2 linked regions of the Ovis aries genome follow. The protein of the gene in region 1 binds, or shares a complex with, the protein of each later gene. Links are inferred from orthologs where the notes say so. Each region holds a gene or a part of one and is shown in the gene's direction. Other genes may lie near its edges.

Region 1 (6,725 bases):
ACTAGCTCCTCCATGCAAAAAGATTTCTTTTTCTTGGGTTGGGAGGAGACACATGGGTCTTCCATTCCGTTCTCCTAAGGAGCCTTCTGGGACTTTTGCAGAGCAACATTTTTCAAATTTTGCATTTCTTTTCATTTCAGGGGCTGATCTTCGAAAAATAATTTACATAAAATAACATTTGGCAATTTTGTGTACAATTCAATGAGTTTACACAAATGCAACCACCACCACAGTCATGATAAAAAAATATATTTTTTATTATTCCGAAATGTTTCCTGAAGCCCCTCTGCAGTCCCTCCCTTCTCCCCAACCCTGCCCCTGGCTATCACTGATCTGCTTGTGTGCATGCTAAAATGGCTTCGGTCGAGTCAGGACTCTGAAACCCCATGGACTGTAGCCTGCCAGGCTCCTCTGTACAAGGAATTCTCCAGGCAAGAATACTGGAGTGGGTTGCCATGTCCTCCTCCAGAGGATCTTCCCGGGACTGAACCCCATCTCTTCAATCTCCTGCATTGGCAGATGGGTTCTTTACCACTAGCGCCACCTGGGAAGCCCTTCTCTCACTCAGTTCAGTTCAGTTGGTCAGTCGTGTCCCACTCTTTGCGACCTCATGAACTGCAGCACACCAGGCCTCCCTGTCCATCACCAACTCCCAGAGTTTACTCAAACTCATGTCCATTGAGTCGGTAATACCATCCAACCATCTCATCCTCTGCCGTCCCTGTCTCCTCCCACCTTCAATCTTTCCCAGCATCAGGGTCTTTTCCAGTGAGTCAGTTCTTCACATCAGGTGGCCAAAGTATTGGAGTTTCAGCTTCAGCATCAGTTCTTCCAATGAGTATTCAGGACTGATCTCCTTTAGGATGGACTGGTTGGATCTCCTTGCAGTCCAAGGGACTCTCAAGAGTCTTCTCCAACACCACAGTTCAAAAGCATCAATTCTTCAGAGCTCAGGTTTCTGTATAGTCCAACTCTCATATCCACACATGCCTACTGGAAAAAACATAGCCTTGACTAGATGGACCTTTGTGGGCAAAGTAATGTCTCTGCTTTTTAATATGCTGTCTAGGTTGGTCATAGCTTTTCTTCCAAGGAGCAAGTGTCTTTTAATTTCATGGCTGTAGTCACCATCTGCAGTGATTTTGGAGCCCCCCAAAATAAAGCCTGTCACTGTTTCCATTGTTTCCCCATCTATTTACCATGAAGTGATGGGACCAGATGCCATGATCTTAGTTTTCTAAATGTTGAGTTTTAAGCCAACTTTTTCACTCTCTTCTTTCACTTTCATCAGTCAAGAGGCTCTTTCTTTGCTTTCTGGCATAAGGGTTGTGTCATCTGCATATCTGAGGTTATTGATATTTCTCCCGGCAATCTTGATTCCAGCTTGTGGTTCATCCAGCCCAGTGTTTCTCATGATGTAGTTTTCATATAAGTTAAATAAGCAAGGTGACAATATACAGCTTTGACTACTCCTTTCCCAATTTGGAACCAGTCTGTTGTTCGATTCCAGTTCTAATTGTTGCTTCCTGACCCGCATGCAGATTTCTCAAGAGGCAGGTCAGGTGGTCTGGTATTCCTATCTCTTTAAGAATTTTCTCTCACTAGTTTTACCTTGTCTGGAATTTCGTATCAATGAGATCATACAGCATGTACTCTTTGTGTTCTGTTTCTTTCACTCAGCATGACCATTTTGAGATTCATTCATGTGGATGGATGGATGGGTTCATTTGTAATTAAGTAGTATTTCATTCCAGAGAAGGCAATGGCACCCCACTCCAGTACTCTTGCCTGGAAAGTCCCATGGACGGAGGAGCCTGGTGGGCGGCAGTCCATGGGGTCAGGAAGAGTCAGACACCACTGAGTGACTTCACTTTCCCTTTTCACTTTCATGCATTGGAGAAGGAAATGGCAACCCACTCCAGTGTTCTTGCCGGGAGAATCCCAGGGACGGGGGAGCCTGGTGGGCTGCCATCCATGGGGTCGCACAGAGTCGGACACGACTGAAGCGACTTAGCAGCAGCAGCAGCAGTATTTCATTCTATGGATGTGCCACATTTTGTTTATGCATTAGTGGATTGACAGACATTTGGGTTGTTCCAGTTTGGAGATATTATAAATAATGCATAACTGGCCTTTTTAAAAGCTGGAAGGAGGTCAATCCTATCTAAAGTGAGTTGGATTTTATTTTCTCCTACCTACAGGGCATCAGTACCATGATAGATTCCTATTAACTTTTAAAAAGAGCGGTGAAAACAAATCTCACACATTTTGGTCATAATACTCCTTTAAATGTCAGTGTTTTGTGCATTGAGTGTCTGTGAATCCTAAAAAATATAAGGAAAAGAAATTCTAAAGGTTCTGAAAGCTCACTTTACAACCAATAATAGAAAATACAAGTCGTTCGTGAGGTAAACTTTGGATAACATCGATTTTATCTCTGGAAAACGAAGCCCACAGAGTGTATCTTTCTTTTTTTTTTTTAGAGTGTATCTTTCGATCTGAAAAACATTAACCTTTCAAGATTAAACTTTCCATTTACTTATAAACAGGGAACCTGAAATACTACGACTTCAGAACTCAGCCAGAAGCGGGTAACCGCTTTGAATGCCGGGATTTGTAGTCCGTGAAATACTCGTCCTAACCAAGATGGCGGATATGCTAATGAGCGGCCCCGAGGGAGTCTGGGCCGCGAGGGGATTGGGCGATGCGGGGATTCCGCGGGAGGGAAGCTAAGACCAGGTGTTACAACCTTTCCAGCGAAGGAAGCCGGATGCCCTGAAGTCTCGCGAGATCCTGCCGGGGCCCAATGGAGCGTTGGGGTCGGCTTATCACTAGGAGAGCTTGTTGGGGGCGGAGCTCTGCCCTGAGCGGGCCGGGAGGCGTAGGTGCCCGGCGTAGCGGCGTTTAGGCCGAGCTACCGCGGTGAGGAGCGAAGCTGTGGCCATGAAGGAGGAGAAGGAGCACAGGCCTAAGGAGAAGCGAGTAACCCTCTTGACTCCTCCAGGTGCTACAGGCAGCGGCGGTGGGGCTTCGGGAGACAGCACCAAAGGGGAAGATAAGCAGGATCGGAACAAGGAGAAGAAAGAGGCGTTGAGCAAGGTGTCTGGCCGGCTGTTGGCCCAGGAGAGGGCGGGACGGTTCCACCACCCGAGAAAGATGGTTGGGAATGGGGCTGCCCTCTTCCTCTCCCAATCTCTTCCTCTGTTTCTTCACTTGAGTGAAAATCGCATCACCCTGTCTCATCCACTCTCCCAAAATGGGGGTTCCCTTCCCGGCAGAGCTCCGGGATGGGAGTGAGGGAGGGCGGGGGGATTCCCTGACTGGAAGGGTTTAGGTCAGAGCCGTGAGATGATGATGGGAGGGGGGGGCGATAGCGAAAAGGATGAGGAATTGAGGGGGAATTATTAAACAGAAAGGTGCTATCACCAGCGGGAGTAGTACGTGATAGGAATATTAACAGGTTAGTTGAGGGAATGGGTGGGTGGCGGCTATTAATGGTCTTGGGCCAAATCGGGTACATTCTGTTCGGGGAGCAGTGAGGGAATTGGGGGTATTTCTTAGAATTTTGAATTCTTTATGCTGACTGAATAAGGACTTTATCAATCAAGAATTCCTGGCACCCACAAAAGACCAGGGTTGGTTTACAAATTTCTTACCACTACTGAAAAATGGGTGACAGAAAATGAGGCGAAAACCTAGTAAACCGTGGGGCTTCGGGTTAACAGAACCTAAGATTTCCTTGCTCCAGGCAGTTCTCGTTTCTGAGAGTTTTTTTTTTTTTTTTTTTTTAAACTATGTTACTGTTAACGTTTGACTAATCGTTCTGAGCGTTCTGAACATTCTCTTGGGTTTTTAGAAGTGATCTCATCTTTTAAAGGCCAACTTTCTTCAGGAACAGTGATTCAGGTATGACAGAAAATTGATTTGTACTAATTTTATTTTCCTTATTCATTTCTTAAGGTGGTAATTCGGAGATTACCGCCCACTTTGACCAAGGAGCAGCTTCAGGAACATCTTCAGCCTATGCCTGAGCATGATTATTTTGAGTTTTTTTCTAATGATACTAGGTAAAATAAGAGGGAGGGGTAAATGAAAAAGGTTTCTTCCATTCTTTTTTTTAATCCTACTCATGATTTCTATTTTATTTTTGAGCCTTTTTAATATATGCATACTTGTAATTCAGCCAGACACCTGCAAGCACATTCACATAATTGCTTTCCTTCCTGCAGTTTGTATCCTCATATGTATGCAAGAGCATACATCAACTTTAAAAACCAAGAGGACATTATTTTGTTCAGGGATCGTTTTGATGGTTATGTATTCCTTGACAATAAAGGTGAGTCCTTTTAACTGAAGGGGAGTTTGTCATTTGTTTAAGACAGTGTATCCCTGTTCTCTTGATGCCTTCATAGTGTTTCTGAAATCCTGAGTGATAAGATGAGCAACATTTAAAGAGTTTTATGCATTTGATAAGCTTATGACAGCCTTATAAATAGATAATATGAGGTTTTACAGGTATTTGTATTAACCTATTATTTCTCTAGTTTGTCAACCAAAGGAAATTGCCACTGTTTTCTCCTCCTGTGACAGTTCTTTTGCCCTGTTTTAGGTGATCCGTTGTCTTGAGTATTTACTAGTTTTAAGTGATACTGACAAGTGACTCTTTAAACTTGTATGACAAGTTTTAAATATTTACTTCTCATCTTGCTTCAAGGACCAATACTTATTTAATTCAGATCCTTTATGTCAATAGTTGCCAGTTGGAGTACTGTTTAACATTCTAAGTTGTATGTAATTAAACCACTGAGCTTGATGATTTCCCACTTCCTATCCAGGAGTTTATAGGGAAGAAAAACTTCTGCATTAACCCTCATTTTATTATTTGTTGCTTGCAACATTTAGCCAGAGAATGTCCAAGTCTGGCTACTTTTGCTACTAAGTTTGCTACTTTTCTTTTGGCTATGCAATATTGAATGATGTGTGTTTTTGTTAGATTATATTTTTTCAATATTACTTCAGAGTTGGTAAAAAATGAAATCTTTGTCAGGGAATATGCCAGTAAAAGTTGAAGAATTGCCTCTATGTTTGTCCAGTTTTTATTAATCCCCCCAAACCAGCTACTTTTCTGCTCCACAAATTTATTCCAGTAGATAGCAAATGGTTTCCTGAAAATCTGAGTTGTGTTTAACTTTTTCCTCTCTTTATCCCTTACATTTAAACAAGTGATGGATTTTGTCAATTTATTGCTTTTTAATATCTTGTTCATCTAGACTGAGGACGTTAGACTTACTGATACTTTCACATGTCCTCATCACCTAATGCTTAGACAACCACTCTCTCTAAACTTATAGAATTTTCCATTTTCTGTATAATTTAGTCTTACTTTGCCATGAAAATAATCTTTTTGAAGATAGTGACTTAAGACAGCAGTTGTGGGAAAAAAGTCCAAATTCCTTAGGTAGACAAAATGTTTTCATCACTTCAGAAAGAATCCTGTATTCATTAGCAGTCATCTCCCATTGTTTGGCCTCACTTCTAATTTTTTTTTTTTTTGCCTATATTCCACAATTTCCTTTTGCTTCGGTCTGGTTTATCTATTCCTTTTCAGGTATATCAGTTATTAAGGTAATATGATTCTGCACTCACTAGGATTTCTAAAATCTTGTTTCCTCTGTGACTGCTTTGTGATATCTAATGGTCAGTTCTAGTAATTTATCCTGGCTTATGTTTACACACCAAAGGTGTAAAGATGGTATTTTATACCTTCTATTACATTATTCTATAGCAAGGATTTGATGTATTTTTCCAGTAGTCACTTAGGTTTTTAAAAAATTATTATTGAGATATAACTCATACCATAAAATTCAGTGGTTTTTAGTATATTCACAGAGGTTTATAACTATCACCACTGGGTAATTCCAGAATGTTTTCATCACTTCAAAAAGAATCCTGTATTCATTAGCAGTCATCTACCATTCTCCTCTCCCCCAGCCCCTGGCAACGGCTAATCTACTAACTATGGATTTCCTTATTCTGAACATTTCATATGAACTAAATCATATAATATATGGCCTTTTGTGACTACCTCTTTTACTTAGCATGTTTTCAAGATTCATCCATGTTATAGTATGTATCATTATCTCATTGCTTTTTTTTGGTTTTTGACATTATTAAAAATTATGGTAAAATACACATAAATAAAATTTATCATCTTAACCATTTTTAAGTGTGCAGTTCAGTAGTGCTGAGTACATTCACATTGTTCTGCAGCTAATCTCTAGAACTTCTTCATCTTGTAAGACTGAAACTCTGCCCATTAAACAACTCCCCATTTCTCCCTGCCCCAAGCCTCTGACAGCTAGCTGTTAATACATTCTGCCTCTTTGAACCACTATTCTTATTAAGTTGACCATTCTAGGTGTCTCATATAAATGGAATAATAGTATTTGACTTTTAGTGACTGGCTTATTTTAATTAGCATATTGTCCTCAAGGTTAATCCATGTTATAGCATGTGTCAGAATTTCCTTTTCCATTGTATGTATATACTTCATTTTCTTTATCCTTTCATCCTTTGAGAGACATTTGGCTATTGTGAATGCTGCTGCTGGAAATGTACAAACATCTGTTCAAATTTCTGCTTTCACTTCTTTTGAATATATACCCCAAAGTGGAATTGCTGGGTCATGTGGTAATTCTATTTTTAATTCTTTGAGGAACCACCAT
Region 2 (6,300 bases), on another chromosome or scaffold:
TTTAAGCCAGCTTTTTCACTCTCCTCTTTAACCTTCATCAAGAGGCTCTTTGGTTCCTCTTCACTTTCTGCCATTAGGGTGGTATCATCTGCATTCCCTGGTACCTAGCACTCAATAGAGCTCTTTTAATTTGCATTTGAGTAGGCAAAAGGGGAGTGTGGGAAAGCACTTAACATTGAATGCATGTTAGATTCTAGTCATGACACTAGGTACCACATCTGTAGTCCTATTTTAACCCCTATTGTAAGCCTCTATGATGGGTGGTGTTACATATCCTTTACAGATAAGACATTGAAGACCTATATATCAATTATGGGGCTTGTTCAAAGTTACTTTTCCTAGTAAGAAACTGAGCAGGAATTTAGACCTCTGCCTGCCTTTGTGAAGTCCGTGTTTGGTGTGATTTCTGCCACACCATTGAACTTCATTAAAGCCATTCTTTCCTTTTAATTGCTTTGTCACATTTGAAAATGTCTTAATAGTATATTTTCATACTGTAATATTTAATTAGCGATCAGTATTAAGCTTACCCATACATGTCAGCATCTTCACTTTTTTTTAAAAGTAAAATGTAAAAGACGTGTCTGCTCTTCAGAAGCATGTCATTTAGTTTAAAATAACCTGAGTTACTCACAGATCTTTCTTTGGGGCTCAGGTGTGCAAATAGGTAAGGAGTAGGTCCATATGAACAGGATATACCAAGAAACAAACAACTAGATGTGGGATTGAGGTGTAGTCATTGGGCTCTTCTGACCCTGCCGTCCTCTTAGCATGCTGAAGTCAAGCTGGAATGTCTTCACTTTTACAGAGGTGCCAGAAATAAATCTTCATTAGTCTTTTTTTTTTTTTTTTTAATCTTTCATCACTATCTGAGTCAGAACGCTGCTTAGAGATACAATTTAAATTCTGTTTTTTAACTTGTTTTCAGGCTTATGTACATAAAAGTGTGATGGAGGAACTGAAAAGAATAATTGATGACAGTGAAATTACCAAAGAGGATGATGCTTTGTGGCCTCCTCCTGACCGAGTGGGCCGGCAGGTGAGTGTTTTAGCAGCTACCCACAGTGCAGAAATCTTACAAATAAGATAAAGCTTCCTGCTCTGCATATGACACTGAATGTACTCAGTATGTGTGCGTGTTCTGGAGCCCTGCACCGAGCAGGTCACTGGCACCTTGGTCTAAGGCGGCACGAAGCCCACACGGAGGACCAGGGACAGCAGGTGGAGCTGCGGACCACCTGGAGCCCAGCCCTGAATTTCTTCTTCTGGTCCACCTCCCGCTTCTTGAGAGTATTTGCTACCCACGTTTCTTACTGAGTAACCACTATGGACAAAACACTGTGAAGATAGCAAGATAAATAAAACATAGTCATGTCAACAATGTAATGGAAAGTCATGCCAGCAACTAAGTCTATCTGTAAATTTCTGGCTTAGATATTTATTCTGCAAGCATTGTGGTAATTAAAAAATAAAAGCCACTGTCATATTTGACCAAATTAATAGGAAAGATTCTTCTTTCTACTTTAATGCTGCCTTCCAACTTCTAATTGATTTCACTGTGTCTTCTTTTGTCCTGTAGAGCCCATTTTTTCTTTCCTGGAGTGACAGTAATCTTTTAAAATGTAGATTTGTTTATATATTCCACTGATATTAAACTCTGGCTTCCCACTGCATTTAAAATAAAATCCGAACTCCCAGCTTACCTTCTACCATTTTCGCCATCTCTCACTGGATTTAAATCTCATTGGTCTTATTTCTGTTACTCAGATTCACCTAGGTGCTTCTTCAGTTTAGAACCTTTGTGTCTGCTACATATTGCCTGGAACATTCTATCTGAGACTGTCTGTATTATTGAGGTCTTCAAATGTCACTTCTTCACTGATGTCTTAAGAGCCTATCTAATTTAAAATGCCTTTTCTTATCACTTAAATAAGATCTGGCTTTTGTCTTCATAGCATTCATCATTGTCTGAAATTGTCTTGTTTGGTTTCCCTTATGCGTGATGATGAATATTCTCAAGCATCTAAAAATAATGAACTTGATCTACATATAAAAACTTTGTTGAAAATAAACAAAAACCAAAATAAATTAACAAACCAACTGGAACCACATAGATACAAAAAACAGAGTTGTGGTTATTAGAGGGAAGGGGCTGAGTGTACAAAATTTGTAAAGGGAATCAACTGTATGGTGACAGAAACTTAAATTTTTGGTGGTTAGCCCAGTATAATACAGAAGTAGAAATAGAATATTGTACTTATGTAACAAACCAATTTTAACTCAATATGGAGATTCCCTGGTGATCAGTGGTTAGAACTTGGCGTTTTCACTACCGAGATCCCACAAGCCATGCCCTGTGGCTAAAAACAAAAAACTGCAATGTAATCTAAAACCATGAGTGGAAATACATTCCAACTTCTGGGCAGGCAGGAGAATAGAGTGGGAGGTGGGTCTAAACTATAATATTTGTCTTGAAAAACTGACACAAGTACAAAATATTAACATTTCAAGTCTGAATGTTAAGAAGTAGAACTCAGGGGACTTCCCCTGTGGTCCAGTGGCTAACACTCCATGCTCCCAATTCAGGGGGCCCCGGGTTCGGTCTCTGCTCAGGGACCTAGATCCCACATGCCTCAACTAAAGATCCTGCATGAAGACCAGCACAGCCAAATAAATTAAATAACTATTTTTTAAAAAGAAGTAGAGCTCAATAGGTTGTAAGTTCCACAAGGGCAGAAATCTTTGGTTTTGCTGATCTGTCCCATAGACCCCCCCCAATTCCCCGCCCAATAGATTTTTTTTTTCTTTTTAAGATTGTGGTACTTCTTTCATTCTTTAGAAATTCAGGCCCAAGGGCATACAACTAGTAAGTGAAAAAGCTGGGATTAACTCAAGGTCTGGAATTCCTTTCCTTGTCCAATGTTGCCCTTAAATGTTAGATTCTTGTATTTGTAAAACAGATTTATACATGTTACTCCACCTTGTTAACAATGAAAACTCCTATATGAAACACAAATGTAAATTCTTCCAAATGTGGAGCCTCACAGACACAACTAAGTATAAGCTATTCAAGCACTAAACCAGTATTTAGGTCATACCATTTATCTGTTTCTAGTACCCAGTACAGTCTAGGGCTCAGGTTGGTCTTGGTAATGTGGCCATCTGTATTAGAGTTCATGTGATTTGGAAGATGATGAACCCTTCTCTTGTGTGATGAAAACCAATTCGGATTGATATTTCTTTCAATGTTTCTAGGAGCTTGAAATTGTCATTGGAGACGAACACATTTCTTTCACAACATCAAAAATTGGTTCCCTTATTGATGTCAATCAATCCAAGTAAGTACACATGATCCTTATAGTCTGTTTTCGAGCATGCTGATATGAAACCCATAATCAAATTGAGACTCTTATGGTAAGATAATAATCTGGTACAAATCTAAGAACTGGCCAGCTTTGTCCCCATCAATAGAGAGACTCCCAGATTATCTTCAAGGGCTTGCTCTGTTTGCTTTTGGTGTTTTAGTCAGTCGTCGTCAGTGAGCGCTTCTCAGTGATGCACCCACAGAGTAATGCCATAGGGGCAGCCAAAGTGGGAGAGTCTGGCCAAAACAAAAAGCAACTGCTGGAAATACCTATGAAATCAGTGAGTCTGGGTACCTTCCTCAGTGTTGGTTATTCAGATTGCACATCTTAAAGCCTGACTTTAGTGAAACTTGAAATCATTTAGAATATAAATTTTAAAATTAGTTTTTGCGAGGGTAAATTATTGAGACATGAATACACTATACACAGAATCATTAGAATTTGGCAGCCTCTTTGTCTCTTGTGTTTTGAGGATTTGGGATTAGATATAGTTCACTTTCAGTACATGTTGGGCATAGTTGTCTTCCTATGAACAGTCTCCTGTTCTTACCCACTTATGCTATAGTAAGGTTGAGTGAGTCTCTTGGTCCTGCTTAGCACTACCTCTTAAAAAGGAAGTTTTCCTAATTCTGAAAGTAATATGTGCTTACTGTAGAAAATATAGGAAATACAGAAATGTAGAAAGGTGAAAATCACCCATAAAATTATCAGTTAGATAACCATTAATATTAAAGTATTTCTGTGTTTTTCCTGTGCTTTAAAAAAGTCTTTTAAAGCACAAAAAATGAATTGAGATCAACAGTCTCTTACTTTAATCATGATTTTTTTCTACTTAATATAAGCATTTCCTTCTTTAAAAACCTTAATGTTTTAAATTACTTCTTAATATTCCATTTTAATGTATATAGAATTTTTCTTCTTTTTGGACATTTGGTTGTTTTCAAAGTTTTAATTCTGTAAATACTTCTTACGAGGAATATCCTGGTACGTAAGTAATCTGGGTTATTAAATGGTAATTTTTGCTGAGTTTTTTCAGCTTTTTTAACATCTTTTTCCTCTTGCATTACAGGGATCCAGAAGGCTTACGAGTATTTTATTATCTTGTCCAGGACCTGAAGTGTTTGGTCTTCAGTCTTATTGGATTACACTTCAAGATTAAGCCAATCTAGATGGAACATTGGTGTGGACACAAGGGGGGTGGGAGTGCTGCTTTTAATTACCATTATCTAGACATTTTTGTGTATATCAGGGCAGTATTTTTTTTATAAACTATAAATGATTGTCTTTAATAAATACATAACAAAAAGCAATTTTTTTTTAAATTTTATAAAGACCTGAACATGTGAACTTGTCTCAAATTACTTTTTAACACTAGGTTCTTATGTGAAGTATTGCCAAAAATCTAATCAACTCTGTACATATAACTACCAGTTTATAGGAAGTAAAAGATTAGAGAAACATGCTAAAAAATAACTGGAAATCCAATCAGTAACCAGAGGAAACTCCAGGATAAGTGATCTGATTTCTTAAAAAAAAAATAAGCTGCAAACATAAATGGAGATGGAGTGGGAATGTTAAAGAAGATTTGAGAGACATATAATCACATAATCAATACAATGTTCGAACCCTGCTTGGATCATGATTCAGGAAATGTAAAGTTGCCATCAGTAGGAAAATTTAAATACTCCATATTTGGTATTAATGAAATGTTAATTTTTTAGGGAGTAAAGTGGTATGGTTGATATTTTGATTTTTTTCATCTAGCTTTACTGAGGTATAATTGAGGTTGGAGGGTTTTTTGGTTTTTTCACTTATTTTTATTTTTGGCTGTGCTAGTCTTCGTTGCTGCTCGGGCTTTTCTGTAGTTGTGGAGAGCAGGGGCTACTCTTGTATCGCTGGGCTTCTCACTGTGCTGGTTTTTCTTGTGGAGAATGAACTCTAGGGCACAGGCTTAGCAGTTGTGGCACATGGGCTCAGTAGTTGTGATTTCTGGGCTCTAGAGCACAGGCTCAGTAGTGGTGGTGCATGGGCCTAGTTGCTCTGCAGCATGTTGGATCCCCAGACCAGGGTTCAAACCCATGTCTCCTGCATTAGCAGGTGGATTCTTTACCACTGAGCCACCAGGGAAGCTGGAAGTTGGAGTTTTAAAAATCACTTTTAAAGATACATCTGAAACTTTCACTATGGGGATGTATACTTGGTTTAATATATTCTAAAGTGGCTAGTCTCAAAATCTTTCCAATAATTCATTTTAAAGTCAGAATTCTAACAGCCATTTAAGAAGCACCTAGTTGGTATAGATAGTGGGATTTGTTCAGCAGGTAGATCTGCAGGAAATTTTTCTTGCTACTAGGTTGCATGGCTTCCTTAGGCAAACTGCTGACTAAACAGATAGTGGGCACCGTCTTGCTAAATCTCATTTGATTGAGGGGAGGTGATAAAGCTAAGCTCAACATTTCTCCAGTGGCCAACTTGGGACAGGTCCCAAATAGTCCTGAGCAAGTGTTTCCCCAACACATGCCCTACTTTGACTCCAAAGATCACAGACACACACACCCTACTCTGCCTCCTTCATACACACACCCTACTTTGCCTCCTTCACACACACACACATGCCCCTACTTTGCCTCCTTCAAAGATCACAGGGTCCCAGGACTTCCCTGGTGGTCTAGCACCTGGCACCGCAGGGGACATGAGTTAAATCTCTGATCTGGGAAGATTTCTACATGTTGCGGAGCAACTAAGCGCATGTGCCAACAACTAATGAGTCCTAGAGACTAGCTTCTGTTTGCTGCAACTAGAGAAAGCCCATCTGCAGCAATGAAGACCCAGCACAGCCAAAAATAAATACCGGGGAGAAAAAAAGATCACAGGGTCCCAAAGATACACACACACACACACCCTACTTTGCCTCCTCCAAAGATCACGGGGGGCG

What was found. Proteins that work in one complex are often made in the same cells at the same time.
Region 2: UPF3B (region 1) and MAGOH share a complex: the UniProt entries of both Homo sapiens proteins name them as parts of the mRNA splicing-dependent exon junction complex. The link is inferred for Ovis aries from reciprocal best matches to the Homo sapiens genes UPF3B and MAGOH.

What each region holds. Positions count from the first base shown.
Region 1 is NC_056080.1:114,666,313-114,673,037, forward strand, and holds the start of UPF3B (regulator of nonsense transcripts 3B), read left to right. Parts: upstream 1-2,843; 5' UTR 2,844-2,943; coding exon 2,944-3,099; intron 3,100-3,856; exon of another isoform or gene 3,857-3,906; intron 3,907-3,960; coding exon 3,961-4,067; intron 4,068-4,229; coding exon 4,230-4,336; intron 4,337-6,725. UniProt on the Homo sapiens protein: Involved in nonsense-mediated decay (NMD) of mRNAs containing premature stop codons by associating with the nuclear exon junction complex (EJC) and serving as link between the EJC core and NMD machinery.
Region 2 is NC_056054.1:27,766,629-27,772,928, reverse strand, and holds the end of MAGOH (protein mago nashi homolog), read left to right. Parts: intron 1-928; coding exon 929-1,039; intron 1,040-3,255; coding exon 3,256-3,338; intron 3,339-4,434; coding exon 4,435-4,534; 3' UTR 4,535-4,675; downstream 4,676-6,300. UniProt on the Homo sapiens protein: Required for pre-mRNA splicing as component of the spliceosome. Plays a redundant role with MAGOHB as core component of the exon junction complex (EJC) and in the nonsense-mediated decay (NMD) pathway.